2 linked regions of the Drosophila melanogaster genome follow. The gene in region 1 interacts genetically with each later gene. Each region holds a gene or a part of one and is shown in the gene's direction. Other genes may lie near its edges.

What was found. Genes that interact genetically often act in the same process or in processes that back each other up.
Region 2: of upd3 (region 1) and Madm, changing one suppresses a phenotype caused by changing the other (phenotypic suppression), as found in Drosophila melanogaster (one study listed by BioGRID).

Annotation. Positions count from the first base shown.
Region 1 is NC_004354.4:18,275,658-18,284,979, forward strand, and holds upd3 (unpaired 3), read left to right. Parts: upstream 1-1,575; 5' UTR 1,576-1,945; coding exon 1,946-1,948; intron 1,949-3,776; coding exon 3,777-4,226; intron 4,227-4,328; coding exon 4,329-4,526; intron 4,527-7,739; coding exon 7,740-8,294; 3' UTR 8,295-8,939; downstream 8,940-9,322.
Region 2 is NT_033777.3:5,739,775-5,748,367, forward strand, and holds Madm (MLF1-adaptor molecule), read left to right. Parts: upstream 1-2,735; 5' UTR 2,736-3,210; coding exon 3,211-4,341; intron 4,342-5,193; coding exon 5,194-5,976; 3' UTR 5,977-7,364; downstream 7,365-8,593. Other genes in the region: Sym (symplekin), read right to left, coding at 1-1,942, 2,004-2,197, 2,268-2,354. UniProt on the Drosophila melanogaster protein: May play a role in subcellular trafficking between the endoplasmic reticulum and Golgi apparatus.

The DNA of each region.
Region 1 (9,322 bases):
TGGCAGTGGCAGTGAGCGGTACACGGTACATGGTACGCGGCAAAGCGTGAACCGTAAACGGTAAACGACAAAACGGAGACGTCGCCACTTTGGCCATGAGTAACGATGAGTGCTCAATTACTTTTCGATTGATCATGGTTTTGGCGCGCGGTGAAATTTAGACCGCCACCCCGCAGTTGCGCCTACCCCCTCTCGGCATCCGCATTCTGTCGACCGGTGGAGCGTAGTCGGCAATCATGAATGAATCGCCGTGTCTGCGAGCGTGAGAGCCCGGCTCGCGGTTGAACAAATCGTGTCGTCATTGACGGCTGTCGGCGGCCGACGGAGCGTATGAGTAATATTCTTGTGAAATTGAACGGAAATAACTGAAATTCATGCCAACCCCCATAAATTGCCGACTATTTGCGGGGGTTACTTCGGAACGGAACAAAACGGAACGGAATGGATCGTTTCGCTTCGGATCGGAAACGATCGTCTCGGAATCGAAATCGGAGAACGGGAGATCCGGAGAAACGGTGAATCGGAAGTGTGTGCCGAGTGAAAGTCATTCGATAAGAGCCAAGTAGCCGCTCATTTCGTTCCCCAGAGACCGGCAAATAGGCAAATTACACATGTTTTGTTTATCTGCGAGCGGGAGAGACAGTGAATAGCTCTCCCAGCGACCTTATCTGGTGGAGATCGGCCCAGTCGACGAATCGATCAATCACTCCACTCCAGTGCGCCGATTATGTGTCATCCCCCAAAGGGGAGCGCTGGAGAGCTGTGAGTATTTCTCATCGTGTTGAAATCTAGCTGGCCTAATCATTCACTAAACGTTTGTATTTTTCACGCCCATTACGACTGGGTAATATTGGTAATAAATCTATTATGTTCGGAATGGCCGTAATATAGAATATTTATGACATTTGTTACTAGTTCACTAACCAAATATTGGTCTCAATCGAATAGCTATTGGATGATTGTACTTGTTGTTGCCTAGTTTAGATGTTATCTCTCATATTTAGTATTATTAAAGTTAACTAAAGTTAGTTAAAGTTATACTTTTCTTCTGCTTTTTTCCATGCTTTCTTCAGCGTATCTTATTGCTCCTAGTTGCTAGTACCCTGGGTACAGGGTAACCCATTGTCCACACCCAGCCGCTATGAGTCGTTTTTGTTTTTTTTTATCGCTCAGCTGTGCTTTTTTATGGCTTTCTCGCGTTGTTTTTGGCACTCGGCGAATGTTTTGAGCGCTTTTCTTGCGATTGCACACTCATGACAGCCGAGAGAGCCTCTCCCTGTCTCTCTTCCGCTTCTTTGGCGATTCGAGCGGAGCGAACATGACCGGCGGACTGGGCGTCCGCCTCCTCATTAGTATGCTCATAGTAACTGAGGAGTTCAGTCAGTCTCCGCCGGCCACAAAAACAAAAAACTAAATATATATACACACATAACCACTGCACGCGAAAAGGCGAAAAAAAAGTGAAGAAACGCTACTGCAAAAATTGTACAAAAAAACAACGCAAAGACGGCGAGAAAGCCACTCCAATCCACTCCACAACACTCCACTCCACGCTCTCCAGCGGCAAGAAATCGACAGCGCTGTTGACTTCGACTTCGATCGAATCGGAATCAAATCATAGCAGACAGTCGAAGGCAGCGCGTCGACACTTAACGCGATAGTTCGTCCAGCCGCGATATAAAGATACAAAGATACGCAGCCAAATTCAACAAATTCAACAAATTCGACAAAGTCGCCTGATTCGCCTGATTCGCCAAATTCGCCAAATCGCGATCGCTTTTATTATTGGTTAGTTTTTTTTTTCGTTTTTTTCCCCGTTGCATTCTGGAAGCTTCTTTCCGGCAAATACACACAAAGAAAAGACTAACAGCGTTACAAAAGCAAAGTGCGTGTCAATCAAGTACGAATTTTTGTGCGGAATTCCCAGCCAACGATTTTTATGTAAATGGTAAGTACAAGTAACTACCGCAGGCGCGTATTTTTTCGGGGATTTTATATTTGCCTTTTCTGCTGCCGATAAGAGAATTCACCTGTGCGTGCTCGGTTTGTTGATAGGTACAGGTGTCTTTCGCTCGATACTTCTGAACCCGCAGAGTTCTTGCCAAGAGCTGCAATGGTCAGGTGAGGTGTCACGTACCCCACACATGATGAAATTGGCCCCAAGGAGGAGGTGTGATGGGTTTAGGGATTGGAGATGGGGATAGGGCTCACAACCGAAAGGGACCATCATCTCCAGCCTCTCATGGGGGAAACTCATTCGTGAATCACTGACACTGTTTGGTGATAGGCATTGAAAACAAGTTATAAATTCATGATGCACAATATGTTAAGTTCATTTTTCCACATGTGAATCATAGCATTTTAAAGTTATTACAATTATGAAAAACCCAAAGTTATTTGAAAACCTATGGACGTTATTTTCGGATGAGTATGACTAATCGTACAGGGGCGACTTGCATTTATTTGCTATTACTATTCTAACTTATTGGGAACTTATTGTTCCATTCAACCACACAACTTATGCAACTAACTTAATAGTTATTGCAACTGTAAAAAAAAACCCTTTTGACGAAAAATGGCCAAAAAAAGAGCGAAACATGTGAAATTAATTTACACGTTTCGTGCCGCGGGGGTGGTGGTGCCAGTGGTGCTGGTGGTGCTGGTGGTGCTGGTGGTGCTGGTGGTGCTGGTGGTGCTGGTGTTGCTGGTGTTTGGCAGGAATTGAAGATTGGATGCGTCAGCGGTTGTCACTACAAGCGTTAGCGATTCGGCACAGACAGGAGGACAAGGTCCGGGCAAAGGGACCGCGATAAAGAGCCGGAGAGCGAAAACGCACGGCAAGAGAGAGTGAATTTCACAAAAGTTTGCAAGACCAATGTTTCGTTGACCATGCTGCTCGATGTGTAGGAGGCGTGTGGAGCGATTGGAGCCTACCCCACCAGACAATATGAGATAGCACCGCCACCGCCAGTGCGGTGGCACCACTATCACCACTACCTTTGCAAGTCGACCTCCACCCGACACACGATGATTCATGATAATTTGGCTAAATAAAGAAATTTATTTTTAATTTGAAATAATTATTTCAGCCAGATAAAGACGGCACTAGCAATGGCCGTAGCTGTAGCTAAAGCGCAAACGATAATAATAACAAATCGCGCATGCTTCGGGCCCCCCAAACAATTGCGATTATATTTATATGTGTGCGTATGGGTTTGCGCATAAGTGCGTCCAGCGGGAATCCCCAAGCAGCCAACAATCATCATAATTCGCCCACTCAGGCACTAACACACACAAAATAACACAAAACAATCGCACCACAATCACACATCCGTACCATCACGTGCGCGAATTTTGGTTTATATTTGGCAAAAGTTGGCCAAGATAATATATAACCAGTCGGTTCAGTTCAGTTGTCCGCGCAGCGTCCGTTAGTCTTGACTTATGGTAATTGGTCCCTCGGCAGGGGGAATACATTTGGCCAACCGAACCCTCTTTTCGGCCAAAGTTTGAGTATGTAAATAACTGAAAATCGAACATACGTATTTGATTTTTTTTTTTTTTTTTTTTTTTTGGTAACTAATAATAGTATAACCTGTTGCTAGACTTTTCTCATGCTAAACACCGACGACGTCTGACGAAGATGTGACGTCAAGAAGTCGTAGTGAAACTCGAGCCATTATGGGTGGGAAAAAAATGAAACTGTGTTATCTTGAGGGCTTTGCGTGTTTGTATAAATTTTGTTTAGCTTATTTCGGAACTTTTTCCATCCACAGACGACAGCTGACCGCCCGCTCGACGTCAGCAGGAGCAGCGGAAGCGGTAGCCGGAGCGGTAACAAAACGGCCAGAACCAGGAATCCAGTGGAACCGCAGCCGCAACCGCCGTTCGTGGATCGACGACGACGCCTGAACAGGAACTGGTCACTGATCTTACTCGCCTTGGCCATGTCCCAGTTTGCCCTCTCCGGCGGCGGTTGTGGCGTCTCAGCGGCGCCCAGTCACCTGGCCACCCCGCCCACTGACAGCCCCTCCAGTCCCATCAATCCCACCAATCCCCTGAAGCACCTACAGAAGCGTTCCAGAGCGGCCAACTTCCGGCTGACCTTCCAGCAGAAATTGAATGCCAGCAGTACGCATCTGGACTGGGAGAACACCTGCAATCTGAAGCCCACGGGTCTGAACGAAACGCACAGCAAGGCGAAACGCTGCAAGAAACGCCAAAGGGTAAGTTTCAAGCGAAAGTTGGCTCTTAGCTGATAAATAAATTGGCACAACTAATTCACACACTATTATCTATATGTATATATGTATTTGTATCTATTTCAGATCCTGCAGAATCTACAGAACCAAACGGGCCGCGAGCTGCGGGGCATCCAGGCCGAGGACAAGGCCAGGATCACCACCAATGCGGACAAGCTGGCCACAGTGAGCACCAAGACTCTGGACATTGTCGAGAAGAACAAGTGGCGATTCTATAAGGGAAACTACAGATTCCTGCCCCGTCTGAATCTCACTAGCAAACAGGTGAGTGTCGTCCATATGCCATAAGCATAATATATGTATGCATATATCGTCATGTGAAGAACTACTGGATCATTTACAAACATCAAACACTCGCGGGGGGTTCTTCTGTTGCCAGGGAGCTTGAGGTGATAAAAAAGAGGGTCACGTGAGGCGTTCGCCCCGTTCACCTGCGTAGGTGCAAACAGGCCGTCACAAGCTAATGGCGAGTGGAGCGGTCATATGAGTCCGAATCCGAGGGAATCGTGCCGCCAGCCGCGAGAGTTGTTGCCATAGTTTGTTTGCGTGATTAAGGGAATTTATCAATCTATATAGAGGGGTATGAAGGAAACTAAGGAAATAAAGATTGAGATATGTATATAGTTCATATGTGCTAGCTTGATGATGGAGTTGTTTTGACAACACTTCCAACAGCAACTTGCATTGAGCACTTAAGTGCCGCCAACTTTTCGATCGCACCTCGTTCGTTTTGTCAGCATTAGCCGGCATTTCGGGACGCCCCATTAACCGTCGATTTGCATTGGTAGCAAACAACAACAGCACGAGGGAAAACATTAGCAATCGATGCCATAACCACATTAAGATTAAGAGCAAATTGACGGCGCGCGCGCTTTTTTTTTCGATTATTGTTTATATAGATCCATCGCGATCCCCCCCAAACCGGCCTTGATCCAGCGATCACGTTTTATGGCCAATCCGTAGATTGGATCGATCCGAATTGAGGCTGAAGCTGAAGCTGAAGCTGTATCTGAATCTGAAAACGAAGTTCAATCCGAATCTCAATTCGTATCTGAAGTGGATAATTTGTTGAATAAACAAAATAAAATCAAGCGGCACATTTTATTTACACTTTTGACAAGTAAACAACAACAAACAGAAGCTAATCAAATTTCGAATTGGATTCGCCACGGACATCTGAATTATGGCGAGAGGAAAATTATGGAGCTTTTCAATTTCGAGACCCTCGAGTTGCGGACAGTTTGATGTTAATAGAGTGGAACCGTTTAGTAATGCCAAATTGTCGGGGTCTGGGAATTCGGAAATATTTTCGCACTGACACGGTGAAATGAGCAAGACCAGTTGAGGAAAAACCCGGAGTGACCGATAGGCCAGTGAATAATGGAAGTAATGGAAGTAATATAGAATGTGGGCTCCGGAATGTGGATGGCGGTACTTGCGAAATGATTGCCACGGAGTACCAGTCGATACGTGACCAAGTATGACAAACGCCGTGCACTAGAAAGGGTCTAGTCCACATTTCAATGAGGTGGATGTCGCTTCGTGAATCGGTCGAGATCGGCTTGGTTGCCCCAACGTGCTAATTCCTTGGTGTCCGGGAAAGTTTCGTATAGGACAGTAATATCTGCAGATAACCAGATGAGTGTAGTTCACTTGGCGTGGCCATAAACAGATACTTTTATGAGATCGCAGGTGCGGCGAAAAATCTCAAGTGTGGTCAAGATCCGCGAAAACCGCCGACTCACTTCGAGTCAGCCAAAAGTCGCGTTCAGAGTGCAAGTGGAGTCTCAAAGGTCGCCACCCCCTGGGAATTTGGTTTTTATTTTTTTTTTTAATTACCCGTTCTGCTAAACTTAGCCAGTCCCATCATAGTTGCCATTCCATTTCATCCATTCATTCACTTAGCCAGCGATTCCACTCAATCGTCTATTCAGGGCGATGAGCAAAGTTTGGCTTTCGCTGAAATTTCTCAATTGTCGTCATAGTCTGGGAAAAGTACCTGGGCCTCGCGGATCACACTGTGAGAAAATGAGGGTAACAATTGACTGCCTTCGCTGCTTATAAGTACTCTTTCGTGTTGAGTTTTTCAGTAGATACCTTTGATCACACACTACTCGATTCGACCAGTCGATCCACCTTTTCTCACTCTGCACCAAGCTCGGGAACTTGCCGCTCGGGATGTGTGTCAATATTTGGCCAATATCGGCTACGTCAATGCCAATTGTGCCAACTAATTGTTGACATCCCCGGAACAGAGTGAAACGGAACCCCCAGATCGGAACCCGATCCGACGACGAGGTGGCAAACGGGACTGATAGAAGAACTCTATATTTAGATGGATCGTTTCGATACCGAGAATCGACGGCCTTTTGACGTCATGCATTCGCTCATACCCACCCAAAAAAAAAAAGGAAAACAACGAATTCGCTGATACCGCAGCGGATCGGTTCGGAAGAAGAAATGACCTTAACGATAATATGTTTGAGTAGTTCACAACGCTCGTTTATTGCAAATGACACACACACGCCGTTTGTGGTCGTTGATCGGGGGGATACGGGGCGCGGAGCGTATACGCGATATGTGATTCATATGAAACAGAGCCGTGGATTCCCCCGAAACTCCAGCGAGAGCGAGCGGGAGCGGGAGCGGGAGCGGGAAAGGGTGAGCGGCGGCATGCGGCGAGCGCGACATGAATGAAACGAAGAGCCAACGTCGACGTCACGAGCGGCCAGCCGAAGCGTAGCCGAGAACTCAAAAAACAGTTACGAGAGAGCGGCGCGAGCGTTCGGCTTGATTTTCACTTTCAGCCGCCGGCCAGATAAGTTTCTGGTCGTTGGGATGAGGGGAGTGTGTGTGCGATGGGAGGGGGGGGGGGGGGGGGTCCGCAAAGGGGCTGGTGGGCTCAGTTCACTCAACCCAAAAAATTCGAACTATAGGATCGACTATATACACCATATGCGATATGGATATCGCAATTTCCGCCAAGGTTTCGCCGTTTCTAATACTTTAATTTTACAATTGGGGATTTTTATTGCAAGCGAGTGCAGAAAAAGGTTTATTCAATAAAGATAACCCCGACCTTCATTCATGGCGATACAAGTAATTAAGGCGTTAAATACTTAAAAATATCATACTTTGCCATATAATTGTTTTATTTTCAATTCTATGCTGATATAATCAAGGATTATGGAGTTGATCTCCAATATGGGTTGGGGTAACTATGATGATTAAGTTGGGAATATATAAGTTTACAAGTTCATGGACAGTTAATGATATAAATAGAGCACTTAATTTAATCTAAAAACTAGTATATATAAAATGGGTGTACAAATATGAATCCATAGATTCTTATCAACAGAGAACCTCTCATTGCAGATCAAAGTTATCAATTAGTCATGTTCCCATTCATAGTATTCATATTTCTTGACAAATCAATTTAACTAACCCGCTTCCAATCTTTTTCCTTGCCCATTCCAGTTGAACCTTCGCCACGCCCATCGCGACCTGCAGATTTACGTGGGCGCCTTCACGTACATGCGCAACATCAAGTTGCACTGGGACCTGGCCAACCTGCAGGCGAAGAGCGTGCTCTCCGACGAGCTGGGAAGGATGCGGAAGTCCGCCCGCGAGGTGCTCTGCAGCGTGGAGGAGGCCATCAACCTGACCAACCTGCTGTACACACCCAACAGGCAGCGGGCGCCACAGCCGAGGGGCCAGAAGAAGCGGCGCCAGGCCCAACCGGTGGTCACCTACAAGATACTGCCGCGCAAGCTGATGGAGAAGCGTCTGCAGCAGTTCAACTCGACGTTGGTGCCACTCGTGGAGCTGCACCAGCAGGCGACCTTGGCCGCACGCGGGGAGGATGTACCACCACCGCCCGACGACCTGATGGTCCTGGAGCAGCACGCCCTCTTCACCAAACTGAAGTTTGTGCAGTATCTCAAGAGTATCCGCAAGATACTCGCGAACCAGCGTAAGAGTCTGTGCAAGGCGACCACCCACGTGCCAAAGGCGATCCAGAAGAAACTCTAGACGAGAGCAGAGAGCAGAGAGTAGAAAGTAGAAAGTAGCTATAGCCAAGAGCTCAGAACCGGCGAAACCTCCATTCCACACAACGAGGCTCATTCCATGAAGACATCCTTAATTTATTAAACATCCAATATTTATTACTCACGCCACGCCACACCAGTCACGACAAATCACGAGGAATCCCCGACAATCACAAGGCTATGAAAAACCGAATAAGTAATGTGAACAATCCACCACAGACGTGAATTTGAGATACCCAGTTTTCTCGATATTCTAACACGATAGTAATGTTTTCTCCGACTAAATTTATTATTATTATTTTTTTTTTTTTTTTTTGATAGCTTTAAGTCCCATTGTATTATTTATTATTGCAACTCGCCAACAATCTGCCGCACATTCCGCTAGATACTAAGTATACTAGATATACTTTGCCTTGTATTACGATGCTGTGATAGTAGATGATTAAAGTAAACACAACGCTCCGCGACGGCCACAAGCTATATATCTCCCCCGACTATATTTACACACTGATATATGTATGTACGATTTACACCTCTATGTAACTTAGCTTTGATTAGGAATTAACATTTTAGACATCAAATACAAACACAAATATACAAATATACAAATACAAACCATTGAAAGTACAAATGCATCGAGAGTTTATCTGCGGATTGGGTGGTCCTCTCCTGGCGCCATATCAATTACACTCATGTGTGGGGGTATAGTATATACGAGATATATTCCCACCGAAATTGCGCATACGCACCGTGCTGGATGAGATGTAAGAGAGACATAAAAGTGTCCAAACAATTCCCCTTTACGATCGTCGCCGTGGCTTTAATTGCAGCAGAATTACGCGGCATTTATAGACTTGTTCAAATATTTTATGAGCCATATAATAATTCTCTCCCCTGGGTTTTGGGTTTGGGTTTTTGGCTTGGGTCGGGATCGGGATCGGGATCGGAATCGGAATCGAGGTCGTAGTCGTAGTCGGAGTTGGAGTCGGGGTCACCTTTGTCCCTTTTTGT
Region 2 (8,593 bases), on another chromosome or scaffold:
TATTTTGTGTACATGGTACAGACTGACCAGGTGGGCCTGTGCCAGATCCCGCAGATCCAGTCGCTCATGCACAGAAAAGTTGAGCAACACTCTAACGAAACGATTCTTTCGCGGCGGCCTAAGCACTGCAAGGTCCTTGATTAGCTCCAGGCCGTGCTGGGAGAACTCGTCGTCCAGGCTTAATTGAACTAGATGTCCAATTGAGACTTCCGGAAGAATGGGTGCTTCTAGATATACTCGACGAATCAAAATAATCTTATCCTTGTGATCGCAACGCTCTCCAATGCCGAAGATAAGCTTATTCAGCAACTCGTTGTAGGCGTGATCGGGTCTGTTCTCTGTCTTAACATAAGTGTGCCTTGTAAATCCTTGCAGCAGAGAGTACTCCTCAAAGAGCCAGGAAAATGCCAAATCGATACGCTGTTTTATATCCTCCAGGATGAACTCCATGATGCCGTAACGTACGTTATCGGGAAAGGTGGCAGCAATCACGGTGACCAGCTTACGGCGCTTTGATGACACTCCTCCCTTAATGCATTGCCGCTCCGAGTTGAGGATGCGACGCACTGCATCAGTTAGGAACTTCTCTTTTAAGTTGCGTGGCAGAGGCTTGGTGATCTCCTGCAGCTTCAGCGTCTTGGCGCGCTCCTTCATCTTTTCAATAACAGTCTGCTCACCCTTGGCGCGCTCCATGGTCTCGCGCAGCTTCTTGGTTGCTTCCTCCTTACGCTGAAACTCTTCCTCACTCAGTTTTTGAACAGCATCCTCGTCCACTTCCATTGCAGTTAGTGTTGATTCAATCGCTTGCACTTTCTTAACCCGCATTGGCGGCTCTCGACTGAAGGTTGCGGCACCTGGGCCTAGGCGCTTTTCAGATAGTTGTTCGCCAAAAAATCTGGAGATATTGGTTACCTGCTGCTGAATAGACATTTCGCGAATGGGTGTATATTCCTGAAGGAACTTTTGTGGCACCTCAGTGGGCAGACTGGGCAGGAACTCCAGCACCAGGGTCACAACAGTTTCAGGATTACGGAAATGCTCTGCCAGAAACTTTTCGTTAACTCGAGTAGACTTCTGTTTCTGTCGTTCCAATTCCTCAGTGTCTAGCTCCATTTCTCGCTGCTGCTGATCCTGCTGCTCACAGGCCAAGCGCGCACGCTTTGCAAGACTTTGCGCAGCATTTTCGAGGATGCGTTTTTGTCTACGAGCCATTTCCTGTTTGTCCATTTTGGGAATAAGCTTCTGGATCTCATTTGTGGAGGACCCCAGATCAACTAACATTCCTCGGATAGTGCTTGCAAACTCAAAGGCACCGCGGTTCTTCAGCAATGTCTGCAACTGCATCTTAAGGCTCTTACGCACGGAGCTTACTTGCGAGTCAGTGAGGGTGGGCGGCAGGTTGGCATTCAGCTGCTTAAAGGCTTCCACCACGGCGCCCATGAAAATGGGTCGCATTTTGGCAATTGTACACAAGCTGCTTGTGCAGGCAATCAAGTTCACTGAGGAAATATGCGTTGTTCCGTGGAACTGAAGCAAGATATCTAAAATATTGTTGCCCTCCTCTTGCAACTTTTCACGGCGGAATAGTGTGCAGTGATCGGGGACATCTGCCAGCGAGAAGTCTCCATCTCGTTTCAGACTGTCCTCGTCAGCAAAGCTCTGCAGAACCACGACGCCCTCCAAGAACTTAATGGCATTTGTACGTATGCCGTCGTTTTCATTGTCGATCATGTCCAGTATTTGCGCCTTGATTAAGCTGAGGATGTTCCACGCCTGCTCCGCACTGTCGCCGGGCTCCATGAGGCTGCACAAGTACTGCAATCCATTCTTGTAGATGCTACCGCAGGCTTGGATCACTCTTTTGATTACCTGAGCCGAGTTATCCCTAAGCAGCATAGACACGACGTTAATGACATGGGGCAGTAACTCCACCTTCACTTTACTGGGATGGAAAATATAAATCGTTTCAGCAAGAAGTTAGATCCTTTGATGGAAATCCTTACCAAACTTGCTCTACGAAGGCGACTACCTGCTTGCGAACCTCCATGTTTGAGTCGTGGGCCAAAGACAGCACGGACTCCAGGAATTCTTCGGCCAGCTCCGCGCACGATCCAAGCACAGTCTCCTGCACCTTAGCCAGCAGTTCGCACTTTGTCGAAGGCGATGCGATGACCAGCTCATTGCACCAATCGACCACCTGAATGGGAAAATATATGGTACAATACAGCAGTCCGGACTGTCTTGTCTGATTAAGATTTGTGTTCTACCTTAGCTCTTGCCGTAGCTGTCTTCTCGTCTGTGAACAGATTGGCCGTCTCCGAGACAAACTGGCTGCGTCCAATTATGCTATCCATGTTTGGTTAATTGATGCAGATTTTGCCTAAATCTGCGATACTTCGGATATTTTTAAGAGCTGCCGGCACGGATGGCAAGGTGTTATCGGTACCATTGAGAAACTATCGAAAACGGTTCTATGATGTTGGTAATTCTGCATATTTCCGGACCATCTAGCTATTTTTTGCCAGCTCTTAATGTGTTCAAAAGAAAAAGAATATTTTACTAAAAACTTGGCTTATAATCAAATGAACCGCCTGCAAACTAATTTTCCTTGCTCGTTACCGTATAAAAAATTAATAAATCACATAAATTAAGCCATTTTTGGCATATCTCAGCTTAACGCGTTATTATCGATGAGCATGCCGCAGTTGCGCTGGCCGAGCGATATGCGGGGGTGACTATCGATAAGCCAGAGGCATCGATTTGCTCACATTTCTTGGGTGTTTTAGCGTGAAAAAAACGCCTAAATAAACGAATCGGCAGCGTGTCAGGCCAGAAAGTGCAACAAACGGATCGCAGTTCGCGACGCAGTCGAGGATTGGAACAGAAGACGCCGTCGAAGGTGCCGAAAAACGTCCCAGCAACCGCCAGCCGTCGCAGCGGAGTGTTTACTGGGCGAGGGGTGCAGTGGATGAGCTGTGTGGGCGCGTGCGTGTGTATGTGTGCGCCAGTGAGTGGGGCAGAGGCAGCGGCAGAGGAGCAGCGGCGGATGTAGCTCGTTGCCCGGACCCCGTAGTGGATACCACGAAAAGCTAGCGCAAACGTAGGCAGTCCAACAAAGAAAATAAACACTGGAAACCGAAGACGACGAGGCCTTCTGGAACTGGAACAGCACTGCTCAACAGCCGCAGCCGCGTCGGTGACCGCACCCTAATGTCAAATAGCCAAGCGAATGCCGGCATCAGCGGTAGCACGGTAGCGGATGAACCCATCCAGCACCACCCTTCCTTGGCGGCCGGCCCCGTAAGTGCATCCTGCCCAGCAGCGACCCCGCCGTCGCAGTCGACGCAGCAGCCCCCGCCGCACATAGTTAGTGCCTCAACAGCTGATGCGGGCAGCAGCGCTGCGGTCGGCGTCGGCGTCGTAGCTGGCAGCGAGGGCGTCAATCTGGACTCGTCGCCACGCGAGTCCGGGGACGATTCGGAGGATGAGAGCGAGATTTTGGAGGAGTCGCCATGTGGACGCTGGCTGAAGCGACGCGAGGAGGTGGATCAGCGTGACGTACCCGGTATTGACTGCGTCCATCTGGCCATGGACACCGAGGAGGGCGTAGAGGTCGTGTGGAATGAGGTGCAATATGCCAGCCTACAGGAGCTGAAGTCGCAGGAGGAGAAGATGCGGCAGGTGTTCGACAATCTGCTGCAGCTGGACCACCAAAACATTGTCAAGTTCCACCGCTACTGGACGGACACGCAGCAGGCCGAGCGACCCAGGGTGGTCTTTATCACCGAGTACATGTCGAGCGGATCGCTGAAACAGTTCCTCAAGCGCACCAAGCGCAACGCCAAGCGGCTACCGCTGGAGTCGTGGCGCCGGTGGTGCACTCAGATTTTGTCCGCACTCAGCTATTTGCATTCCTGCTCGCCGCCCATCATCCACGGCAATTTAACCTGTGATAGCATCTTCATCCAGCACAACGGCCTGGTCAAGATCGGCTCGGTGGTCCCGGACGCGGTCCACTACAGCGTCCGGCGCGGCCGAGAGCGGGAGCGTGAACGCGAACGAGGCGCCCACTACTTCCAGGCGCCCGAGTACGGCGCCGCCGACCAGTTGACCGCCGCCCTCGACATCTACGCCTTCGGGATGTGTGCCCTGGAGATGGCCGCCCTGGAAATCCAGCCCAGTAACAGCGAGTCAACTGCCATCAACGAGGAGACCATCCAGCGCACAATCTTTAGCCTGGAAAACGATCTGCAGCGCGACCTGATACGAAAGTGTCTCAACCCGCAGCCGCAGGACCGACCCAGCGCCAATGATCTGCTCTTTCACCCATTGCTTTTCGAGGTGAGTTTTCAAGTCAATTATCTTGTTCTAAATGCTATAAATTCAAGACCCGCATAACAATTGCCTTGTCAACTAGACCTTGCATTCTAATTCTCGGATCCATCGAGTGAGAGATTTAGTTTAATAAGACACCTGATATTATTAAATTTTATTTTAAGTAAATAATTGAAATCTGAAGATTTGAATAATTATATGATTTAAATGCACCGTTAAATATTTAAGTTCTAAATTTGGTTTTATCCGAATCATATCGTAAATTATCTTAGAATTTAATATATTATATTCATGTGTATATTATATATATATGTATATAAATGGAAGGAGAACTAGTAATCAGTTGATAATTCTACAATCCATTTTGACTGTAGTATATTATTTATTGCTCACAGTCACTTATATCTTAAGTTCAAGTTGTGGTTAATATGTAACTATACATTTTATTTTGATTACTGAGGGTCTGTTGTTTTATTTTCATACCTGTTACTATATTCGTTAAGAGGAAATTAACGGGTAGAAGGAATCGTTTTCAGCCCTATATTGTTAGCGATTCTTCATTAGAATCGTCCACTCCAACGGAAACCCCATAGAACTGCCACGCCGATACTTTGGTCTTATTTGTCTTGTCAATATCCATTGGTATGCCATTTTAAAGTGTGGAAACTTCTCGTTTGCACTTCAACTTGAGTCTGATATTCGAGAAAAACAGTGTAGCGTTCGCTCTTGTTGACTTTAAAATATAAATTTGTACATGGTTCAAATGACATTGCAAGGTATTCTTATAACACTTTTATAAAGGTAATTAACTGAAAAACTCAGTAGTTAATAATCAATTTTTTGCTGCTATTACTACAGGTGCACTCCCTCAAACTGCTGACTGCCCATTGCCTGGTCTTCTCGCCCGCCAACCGCACTATGTTCTCGGAAACCGCCTTCGACGGCCTCATGCAGCGATACTACCAGCCGGACGTGGTTATGGCCCAGCTGCGGCTGGCCGGCGGCCAGGAGCGGCAGTACCGACTCGCAGACGTTTCAGGCGCCGATAAGCTGGAAAAGTTCGTCGAGGACGTGAAGTATGGTGTGTATCCGCTAATTACGTACAGCGGCAAGAAGCCGCCCAACTTCCGTTCCCGGGCCGCCTCCCCGGAACGGGCTGACTCCGTAAAATCGGCCACGCCGGAGCCTGTGGACACGGAGTCGCGGCGCATCGTTAACATGATGTGCAGCGTTAAAATCAAAGAGGATAGCAATGACATAACCATGACAATACTGCTGCGCATGGACGACAAGATGAACCGCCAACTGACATGCCAGGTGAACGAGAACGATACGGCGGCGGATCTCACCAGCGAACTGGTGCGCCTCGGTTTCGTCCACCTCGACGACCAGGACAAGATCCAGGTGCTGCTGGAGGAAACGCTTAAAGCGGGCGTTATGAGCGACGGTGCCGGGGCAGAGAGCTCCGGTGCGGGGGTGACGACCACGGCGACCATGGCGGCCTTGGAGCAGCTGGAGCGCAACTGGTCGATATCCTCGGATGCAGACAAGCAGGGCACTGCCGTGATGTATGTACCGCAGGAGCAGCAGAACGCGGACGGGGACGTCGACGTAGAACACTCGGGCACGACGAGCAATTGAAAGTATCAGCTTAGTATTCAGGGCATGCCGGCGCGTATTGTTTTTATTATATTGGGAAATTACACATTACGATTTTATTAATACTATTATTTGTTATTTTTATATATATACCTATATATATGTGTATATGTATGTATGTATTTGAAATAATATTTATGTATGTATGTATCATAAACGATGTTGAACCAGGCTTCCAGGCTAAAGATTTCGATGACGTGGGACACGCGGCAGACAAAGGTGGGTCGCCTCTCGCGAGCACGATGAACATTCAAAATCGCAGGAACACTTAGCGACATGTCTTAGAGAAACTATAAGTACAGTATAATTCGCTTAGCTGCATCGATAGTTAGCTGCATCGGCAAGATATCTGCATTATTTTTCCATTTTTTTGTGTGAATAGAAAATAGAAAATAGAAAAAAAAAAATTAAGTTAGCTGCATTTTTAAGTTACCTGCATCGAGGCATTGTGCAAAGTACTCGAGGCAGCTAAGCGAATTATACTGTATAACAATAATTTAGCTCGAAATCGTACGCGGAAAGTACCAAACATGGTTCAAAACGATTCGTTTGTTTCCATGCCTGCTAAAAACAATGTTATTAGTCCTTTAGTTTCTTTGGTAAATTTGCTAGGAATTGTTTCGACTCATGTCCCAATTGAAACCTCGATCCACTGCGACACCTCGACACAAACTTTTGAAAAAAGCTGCTAGCGAGCTTGACAAAAACCAAAGCATTCGCTTAGCACAACTCTGAAACGAGCACGAATGGAATTCGCAGCTCCGACTAGCTGCGGCTAGACAAGATTCGAATACGAAAACCCAGACACATTAGATTTCGATAAACGAACATCTGGACGCCAATGTAAGGATCATTTTTTCTAGGACATTATCAAATTTCATAAGCTAGCCATGTCGCGAGAACAAACCCTAAAACCGCTGTGGAATGTATTTAAATGTATTACAAATATAAACAAATACGCAAGGCCACGAAAAATAATAACTAAATTATTAAACTAAAAACTATGAAAACACAAGCAGAGCATGCAACAAAAAAATACACAACAGACATAGCTACACTACTATTAAACAAATAAAGATGGCAACCAGCTGACTAAATACAAAGTCTTTTTCTTTGTTTTCTAAGCTAGTCGAGTTAAATTAGAATAGGGGCAGATAATCAGATTTTAGTTTTCTTTTGATTTATTATTTTCTGAGAATGTGCTAAAGCTATATTGAAATTAAATCCCGTAAGGTGACAAAAAGCCATTTAAGACCCACGGACATATGAATTACTCACCATTTCAAATTTGTTTTTACGAGGTGTACGGATTATGAGCGGAGTCACCCGGTGCTTCAGCTGTCTTAACAGCGGATTAACATTTTATATATCGATGCTAATTGAACTGAACTGTATTCTTTCTTTCGCTCTTGTAATTTTGCGGTCATAGCGATCAGACGTGATTTTTGTATATGAAAAAATAAATGAAGTTAAATAGTGTATATATGATTCTTATTTGCGAACCCCATTACAATGATGTCAAAGCAGTGAGGCATCACAACTATTCATTGGTGGCCCATGAGGGGAACCTTGCTCATAAGAATCATAATTAATAATTGCTAAAAGCTGTTTGGCAATTTTATCTTCGTGGTCGGCTTCATCCAGATAAATCACCGTGCCTACGTTTTCTATCGCGCTCGCTCTCATCACGACAGAGCAGTATACGCAAACATTCGCGCTCGCTCTCATCACGACAGAGCTAAGTCCCGTTGCCCTTCGATTCCGTTAGATTTGCCGGAATCTCTGCCAACTCAAAAAAACAAGACGTCAAAGAAGAACACCGATAACATACGAGCATTTGTGCATATTACATACAGTGGAGCAACGTCAGTATAAACAATGTCGAAATTTGATCAACTGGTGCGAGTTCAAACTGACCGCATTGAGTCTTTGAAGCGCTTGTTCAGTAATGTGAAAAAAGACTCGAGTGCGCGGAAAACGGAAATATATTTCGAAAAACGTTTGAATCAAATCGACGAGTTTAACAAAGAATTTCATCAGGCGCATCACACACTTATATGCATGGCAGACTACGAAGAAAGTGTGTATAAGCAACAAAATACAATCAGCCAATTCGAAGACCTGGGCATGGAAGTTTACTGTTTCGTGGCCGAAGAAAAGAAACGAATTTATCCAGGCACAGTGACGCACAACGAATCAGCTAACTCTACAATAACAACACATGTAGAGGAAGTACGGATACCACTGCCAAAATTACCAGTTCCGAAATTCTCTGGCAACTGCGCGGACTGGCCAAGTTTTCATGATGCATTTTTACGCTTAATTCACAATAATGAGCGTCTGGATAAGATTCAAAGGTTCCATTTTTTAAAGGAAGCATTACCAGTAGGCCTGGACAACGACATTCGCCAAATCGCTTTAACTGAAGCAAACTATGAAGTCGCTTGGACCACACTTCTACAACGATATAACAACCCACGAATTGTGTTCGCCAGCCACATGAACATGCTCTACAACTTACCGAATCTTTCGAAAGAAAAATCTGCTGACATACGGTCTATGGTTAGTACAGTCAACGTCTGCATTGCCGCTTGCAATA